Linked DNA regions of Caenorhabditis elegans. The main gene of each other region encodes a partner of the protein of the gene in region 2 in a complex. Each region holds a gene or a part of one and is shown on either strand. Other genes may lie near its edges. The genes, in order: exos-2 and crn-5.

What was found.
Region 1: crn-5 (region 2) and exos-2 share a complex: the UniProt entries of both Caenorhabditis elegans proteins name them as parts of the RNA exosome complex.

The regions. Positions count from the first base shown.
Region 1 is NC_003282.8:6,413,665-6,417,979, reverse strand, and holds exos-2 (Exosome complex component RRP4 homolog), read right to left. Parts: upstream 2,503-4,315; 5' UTR 2,478-2,502; coding exon 2,338-2,477; intron 2,277-2,337; coding exon 2,108-2,276; intron 2,063-2,107; coding exon 1,835-2,062; exon of another isoform or gene 1,728-1,834; coding exon of another isoform or gene 1,527-1,727; intron 1,480-1,526; coding exon of another isoform or gene 1,363-1,479; exon of another isoform or gene 1,327-1,362; intron 1,253-1,326; coding exon 1,097-1,252; intron 903-1,096; coding exon 774-902; intron 727-773; coding exon 637-726; 3' UTR 520-636; downstream 1-519. Other genes in the region: Y73B6BL.22 (Nitrogen regulatory IIA protein), read left to right, coding at 1,363-1,479, 1,527-1,727. UniProt on the Caenorhabditis elegans protein: Non-catalytic component of the RNA exosome complex which has 3'->5' exoribonuclease activity and participates in a multitude of cellular RNA processing and degradation events. Involved in regulation of antisense ribosomal siRNA production.
Region 2 is NC_003280.10:10,590,455-10,594,102, reverse strand, and holds crn-5 (Exosome complex component RRP46 homolog), read right to left. Parts: upstream 1,352-3,648; 5' UTR 1,342-1,351; coding exon 1,138-1,341; intron 1,092-1,137; coding exon 925-1,091; intron 878-924; coding exon 604-877; 3' UTR 512-603; downstream 1-511. Other genes in the region: C14A4.6 (MARVEL domain-containing protein), read left to right, coding at 1-112, 170-359, 406-452; crn-3 (Exosome complex component 10 homolog), read right to left, coding at 1,545-1,678, 2,400-2,703, 3,129-3,648. UniProt on the Caenorhabditis elegans protein: Non-catalytic component of the RNA exosome complex which has 3'->5' exoribonuclease activity and participates in a multitude of cellular RNA processing and degradation events. Involved in apoptotic DNA degradation.

The DNA.
Region 1 (4,315 bases), on a different chromosome or scaffold from region 2:
ATCGAGAATTAGAAGTTCGAATTAACTTCACATTGTTTTCTATGAAACGTTCATCCGATCCTCGTTTACCATTCGATCCTTTGTTATATTTTCCCATTTTTACTGTGCCCAACACCTCATATGCATCCTTTTAGGTTAGAAGTCTGCTAATTAGCAGCATAATTTTTGAGCTTTCACTGAATGTCTGTCCCATGCCTGCTCTCTCTTTTCCTTTTTGTTGTTTTCCTCTGGTCAATGTTTCAATTCTTCCTGGTTTTTTTTGAATCACAATAAACACTTTCCAGAAAATCGTCTCGATTCTCACTTGGTGGATTGAAAAGCGGATAGTGTGAATCGAAGTATATTCACTGAAATTGTTCGGTCATTAAGTTAGAATGTGGAGTTCAATTGAAACAATTCCTAGATCAAAAAAATTTCTGTGCGACCTTGGGTTTGCAAAGATTACGGGTCGATCGTTTAATTTCAGGGTATGGACCATTTCTTTCGAAACTTTCAGATTTTGTATCGCAGCTAATATCATCCGAAAAAGTAAAAAGTTTTATTTAATTGAAATGGTAAATAAGAAACTCAACAAGAAATAACAGCAACAAAAAAGGTAAATTTTAAATAGGGAGAGATCATTCAAAACAATTAGAATTACTTCTGCTGTTGAAGTTCCTGTAGAAGCCGTGCAGCAATCAGGTAGGCGAGTCGAGAAGACGTGTCTTGCTCGGCGAGCTCTTTGATCTGAAATTATTTTTCTAATTTTTTAAAACTGAAGAAACAATCGATACTTCATAAGGCTGACTCATTTCATAGCATGTTGTCAGTGAATTGAGGTAGATCGAGATGGAATAATCACGAAGAAGACGAACACAGGCAGCGATTCTGACCATAGTTACGCGTACGTCGGGAGGTACAATCTGAAATTTATTTTATTGCGAAAAAAGCCAAATTTTTTTGTTTTTCTTTTCGATTATGATGATCACGAGTATGATGAATAAATTATAAGGTCTCGTCAATCATTGGAATTATTATAATTTCTCGTTGTTGAGTCACCAAATATGTGCGCTAATTGTTATTTTCGATTCATTTTTCTCAAGAATCACTATCACACCTGAAACTCGTGAACATGTGATCCATCCTCTTCAAGTGTGGTCTCCGGCAACGACGGCGTGACCCACACACTTCCGTTGCAGCCAATAATCACAGCCATTCCGTAGGGTAACGTGTGAAAATGTTTCTTGGACTTTTTGATCAAATGTGGAGGAACCTGCAAAAAAAAGAAATTAATTCCGTGACTTCCCACTCATTTTGTGGATTTTTTTGTCGCTTTATTTATTTTGGCAGCATAAACAAAAAAGAAATATTGCTTTGAACGAGATGTCGCATAAGAATGAGAAAACTCAACACTTTGAAAAGGCGGAGGATATTCGTACAAAAGTGCTCGATTCAATGATCTACCGACTCGATGAACGTGCAAATATGGTTATCACGGAGGTTAGCTTTTCATTAATTTTTTTTGAAATAGAAAATTATTATTAAAGAGCCCAATTCCCGAATGGCGTGCTTATACACAATGGATTCTCATTGCTGCGTTGCTTGTAATTTTTTGTATTCTTCGTTATGGCGTCGAGACTGTTGAACTGCATCCAACTGCAAAGAAGGATCAAGATCCTGTGATTGAGTACAGAGATCGAGAATTGAATAAAACTTCTGAGGCTTTTAGAGCAAGACGCCGTACGTGAGCTAATTGGAATCAATTGGATGATGAATTTAAAGAAATATAACAACTTTCCGAACTATTATTTAAAAATTTATAATTGCGTTTTCTTAAGATTTTATAAAATATTACCTTAATCAATATTCCTTGTTGCAATTTTCCGTACTTATTATTTCTTGTGTGTAGCATAAGTGTTCCGTCGTGCTGGACTTGTTGGACTTCTGCACAGATCAGTTCTCCGTTTTTCAAGAATTCGCTCATTTTCTCCTCATCTTCTACATCTTTTCTGCGAAAGTCTCCTCCTGGCAGGAGAACTGAACCTAGTGGAAGATTTGCATGAAGACGAGATGCCACATCACACTGAAAAACAATTATCGTTATATTTTTCACTTAAAAATTTGAAACCTTCCACCGTTTTGCTTGAACCTCCACGACACGGGCAACTACAACATCTCCGACTTCACCAGCATATCGTTGTTTAATAGTTTTAACCATCAACAGTCGATTTAATTGTTGAACGACTCCAGAGAGAGAACTGACGATTTCTCCGTCGCGAACGTAAGTTCCATGTCCTCTGAAAATCTTAATTTTTTCATTTTTCAAAAAGATATAACAGTATTTTACAATATACATACCTCATAAACTGTTGCGGTGCATCACAAACTGAATGTCCTGGAATAACAATTTTTGTCTCATCAATATCATTTCTTGCTTCGGACATTGATAACATCATCCATGGTGATACGAGGGGTGGACCGGTGACTTCGAAACTCATTTTTTAAATTTTTTTTGTCTGCAAATAACCAAATTTAAATAAACTTAAATTAAACAAAGAAACTGAAAAAAGCTTTCATTCGAAATGAAAATAAAAATAATTATTTCCAACGACACTCCGAAATGACGGAAAGCGTGCTGTTTATCGTAAACCCACACGTCACTCAATTGGCGCCTATTCAAATGTTGATTTTCGACCATAAAAGTGCGAGCCAATTGAGCGTGCAAATTTAATTGTTTCTGCTAAACCAATGACGATGAAAACCCGAAATTGAAATAAAAATAAGGTTCGACACGAAGCCATTGTCTGACTTTTTATAAAGGTGTCATTGGAAGGAAGTGTGAGTTGAATGGGACACCTATAATTTCGACTTGCATGCGAACGGGAAAAATACAACAAAAGAGGATACGTAGAAATATATTGGAGAAAAACTGAGTATTTAAAACAGAAGTAAAAATCGTAAAGGAAAAATTTTCAAAACTTTGGTGGTTTATTGTGCGATTTTTAAATATTTCCTAGATTCCGATTTTGCGGGTTTATGTACTCTTTTTTATTTAGGTTGACTGTAAAAGTATTCTTCTCCATCTAAAAATTAAAAAAAAAACATTTTCAGACGGTAGACGGTCATGTGGAACTCTTAGAAAAAAGTTTTGAAATTTTGAAAAAATTGAAAAAAAATCAATGTTTCTGAAAAAACATTTATAAAGTTACCATTTTCTGATTAACAATGTTCGAATTTTCGAATTGGTATTTCTTATTTTGATTGAGAGTTTTATGAGAAGTATTGAAACATATTTTTGATATTATTCTTAAATTTCGTTAAAAGTTATTAAAAATGCATATGTACCCGGAATATTGTAATTGAGCCAGTATTTGAACAACTTCTCAAGAACTTCAACTAAACATTCGGTTAATTTCAGGAAAATCAATATTATTTCTTCTGTTCTATTCATATTTCAGATTGAAATCTTTCACAGAACAGTGCAAATTTCCTAAAAAGAATGTGTCGCAAAAGAAAGGTCCACATATTTTTCTAGCAGTTGTACACTTGCTCCATATTCGAAGCTCATTTTTTATTTTTTGTTTTATATCAAAAATTGTTAACTGACAACTAATTGACTATTTACTTTTCTAAAATTTCCCATAAAAATAGTAGTAGGAGTCTTACAAAAGCTCCCAGAAAAATTTGTAAAAAATCGAAAAAAAAAAACACTGTTTCTGATACACTATTTACAAAATTGTGGTTCATCGAAAACAATGTTTTCAAAATATTGTATCTAATACATCGAGGCATTGATTAATTTTAGAAGTTATAACTTGGTTGTCTTTAAATTTTTGAACAACTGTCAACTGGCAACTTATTGATTATTTAATTTTCTAAAATTTATCAATTTTACAGTTTGTAAACTGTTTTGAATGAATTGAGATATGAGCTGTTAAAGTATGATAGTCAGGTGCAAGTACTTATTTATTTTGTCATTTCATTTTTTCGTAGTTTTAAAATCGCTAACCAATGTCTAGAAAACTTTATACAAAATTATCCATAATTTGCATTATCAGAGCCCTTAATTTCCCACAAAAATTCGGCGAAAAATGTGGGTGGACGGACGGGTGTTTTTCGATGACAAATGGACAGATCAAAAGCTTTCATTAATTATTTGAATATACTTCTTTTCACTCATCTTCCGTCATTTTCACACGCCTACCGTACTCCTCCATTGACTTCGCAAATCGCGGCGAATTTGAAATTAATATTTTAAAGAAATTTCTTACAGAATCTTTTATATTTTTTTGCGTTGATTCCAAGATCCGGGGGAATTTTAAATTTTTATTCATCA
Region 2 (3,648 bases):
TTGGTTCACAATTGGATGCTCCATCGTCTTCGATATTTGCACAATTGCAGTACTTCTCAAGGAGTACGATATCTCAATAATGGCGATTCGAATGCTACCGTATGCAGCAATTGTAAGTTCGGGCATCGATGGGGCACACGTGAAACTACACGGAAATTTGAATTTCTAGGAATGTATTGGATCGATTCTTGCAATTATTTGCTATGTTATCTCCATGGCAATATCGATTAGTAGTGAAGAAGTGACTGATGATTTCGGATTTTTGGTGGTCGCAATTTTTTGTTTTATTATTGCACTCATCCACGTGTTCAATCTGGTTGTAAATGTTCGAAGATGGAATAATGGATCACATCATTTGAGTGAGATTTTTTTTCTTATTTTGAAAATTCACCATTTTTATTTCAGATCCGGCTGGAGTCTACGAATATTCAAATTATGGATCTGAAGCTTAACCTATTCTTAAATACCTAAATACCTTCTCTTGTCACATTTCTACAAAAACTTCGACTTTGAAATTTAAGATTTTAATATCTCACAAAACAATGGATTCAAAATTAAATAAAAAATTAAAATCAACAACGACAACAACAAAACATTGATAATCTATTGCTCATCAACCGAAAGCTTCCTCTTCATCACAGTTTTGTAGAAATCAAAAATAGCACTGGCAGATGGTTGTGCCAATGACCACGCGGCTTCCAGCTGAATAAAATCCCAATGTCCTATAGCGTCCATCGCACACACTTCTGGATGTCCATCGGATCCTTTGCACACTGAAAAGAGCACTCTTCCAGTCGATGCAGCTTCTTGTTTTGCTGTCGGATCAATAATCAGCTCATCTTTGACACGAACAATAAGGACACCACAGAAGACTGTTCTGAAAAATTATATTACAGTTTTAAAACAGTATCTAAAAAAACTTACTCGAATGGCATTCCATTGTCAAGTAGAGCAAAACAAGCTCCATTTATCGCTACAGCTCCCATACTTCCATCATCCTGAATTCCATGTACTGTGACAGAAATTGTTGTGTGGGGAAACAATTCGAGATTGATTGCATTGGATAGAGTAGAATGAATGATATTGTTCAGCTGAAAAAAGAATTATTCCAAAAGTAATTTCTACAAAAACCCCTACCACATTGAACTTGTTATCTCCACAATTTGCTCTATAACTAATATCCAGAGTCATAGCCTCATCACTTGCTTTCGAAGCGTGAACATCTCCAGGACCACTGCATGAAGCCCAAATACACGTGGCACCCTGGGAGAAGCATGCCGAGCCATCCGCGTTTTTGAGGAACGAGAGCTCACAACGCATTTCACGAAGTCTGCCGGCCATTTGGGGATATCTGAAATCAAAATTAATCACAAAAATGAATTTTGTAGAAAATATAACTGAAATTGGTGGAAAACCAAATTGAATTAAAAATAAATAAATAAAAAGATTTCAAAAACAGTTTTCTTTAATTTCAAAGCAAAAGAAAAAGCACAACAACAAAAAGTAAAATAACAATGGTAATGGGATGGGATGTAACAATTTAATCATTTTTTGTAGTTGATGGTTCCTTGTCGATTCGATGATTTTTTCATAGCCATATTCTTCTTTGTCTTGTTCTTCAATCGATATTTTTGATGGAATGGATCGAAATCGGCGTTGTTGTCTCGAACAGGTTTTTCTGGAAATAATTTATTAGGAATTTGATTTCGAGACTTTTTTGAGAGCTATATAATTGGGTACGGTATTATCCAAATTTTGAGCCAGAAAACGTTTTTTTTTTGCAAATTTGCGGTTCTTTTTGGAATTTAACGAAAAATTGATTTTTTGGTGTTTTTTTTTGGTATTTTGAATTTTTTTTTTTGGGTTTTTTAATAGCTTTTATTGGCACTTCGACGAATAACATTGATTTTTTTTTGGGTTTTTTTGTTGGAATTCAACAAAAATTGAAATATTTCTTGTATTTTGACGAAAAATTGATTTTTTTGTTTTTTTTTTCAGACCAACAAAAATATTTTTTGAAAAACCAATACATTTTCACATATTCACGATTTTTTTGAAAAATAAATTCAAGCATCAACTTTTTTTGGTTTTTGTTCGTTTTTCGCAAATTCGTAAATTTCAATTTTGGTTTTTTGTTCAAAAATATTTTTTGTCCCAGCCCTGGTGTGCTCCTTTAAAGAGTACTGTAATTTCAAACTTTTGTTGCTGCGGAATTTTTTTTAGTTTTAAATTTATTTATTAAAAAACTAAAATAAAACCGAAGAAAATTTCCCAGTAACGAAAATTTGAAACTACAGTACTCTTCAAAGGCGCACACCATTTTGCAAGTTGTCGCGACCTGGTACCGTATTTTTAGCCTTAAATCTCGCGTCTGGATAATTCAAAGGAATATAACTTACCAAATGCACTACTATCAGCTTTTTCATAATCAAAATCTTCAACGGGAGCATCATCATCAGATTTTTTCTTTTTTGGATCTGAACTACTCGACGACTCGCCGAGCACAACAGAAACATCTATATTTCGTCGAGCAGCATCTCTCTTTCTTTTCATTGCCTTCTTTGACAGTAGCTGGTCGTCGGTAAAACGAGATGGATCGAAGATTTGAGGTTCCGATGAAGATTCTTCCATTGGTGAAGGTTCTGGATCTTTCGGCTTGTTCGGATCATCTGGGACCAGCTTCAGTGTATCAACGTTTAGAAGCTGAAAATTATCTTATTAAAACCAAGGATGTCATCGGAATTTTTAAATATATTTTTTTTCATTTATTTTTTTTTTGAGAAAATCGAAAAAAAAGAAGTTTTATTTTCTGATTTTTTCAGAGAAAATCGAAAAAAAATTCATTTTTATTTATTTTTTCAGAGAAAATTAAAAAAAGATTTTAGTGATTTTTTCAGATAATTTTTTTTTAAAGTTTTTTTACTAAATTTTTTTCAGAGAAAATCGAAAAAAAAAAATTTTCTATCAAATCTGTACGTTTTTCCGCCGAAAATTTTTTTTTAAGAATAAAGCAATCTCTGAATTCCGTATGAGCAATACCGATTTTGGAATTTTCTTTTCAGACATTTTTTTTCGGTTTTTCCCAAAAAAAAAAACGATTTTTTTCAGATTTCATTATATCTACCAACCTTCGCATCGAATTCAGGTTTTCTATTAATCGGAGCATCATGATGTGAGAACATAGTCTTCGGTAGATCACCTTCCTCCAATTTCTTTCTCTCAGCCTCTTTTCTCTCTTCTTCTTCTTGCTTTTCTTTTGTAATCATCATCATTTGATAACATTCAAATGGAGTTACAAATTTGTCAAGTTCATTCAACAACTTTTTAACTTTCTGATTATCCGATTTCTTTCCTTTTTCCACAACAATCATAGTTTCCACACTTGGAATTTCAGCCGTTTGGAGCACTGATAACAATGATTCTTTATGATCTTTCAGCTCGATATCCATTCCTTCATCTGTCTTATCAATATAAATTTCTCCGCGTTCTTCGTCAAATCTAGTGTGTGAAAAGTCGATTTTTGATTTTAAAACTGAAGTGATATGATCCATAGTATCGTTCATTACACCTCGTGCTTCCTGTGCATCATTTCTTTCTTTCGCCGACAATCCCACTTTCTCAAGCTTCACATCTCTGGCCTCCACAATT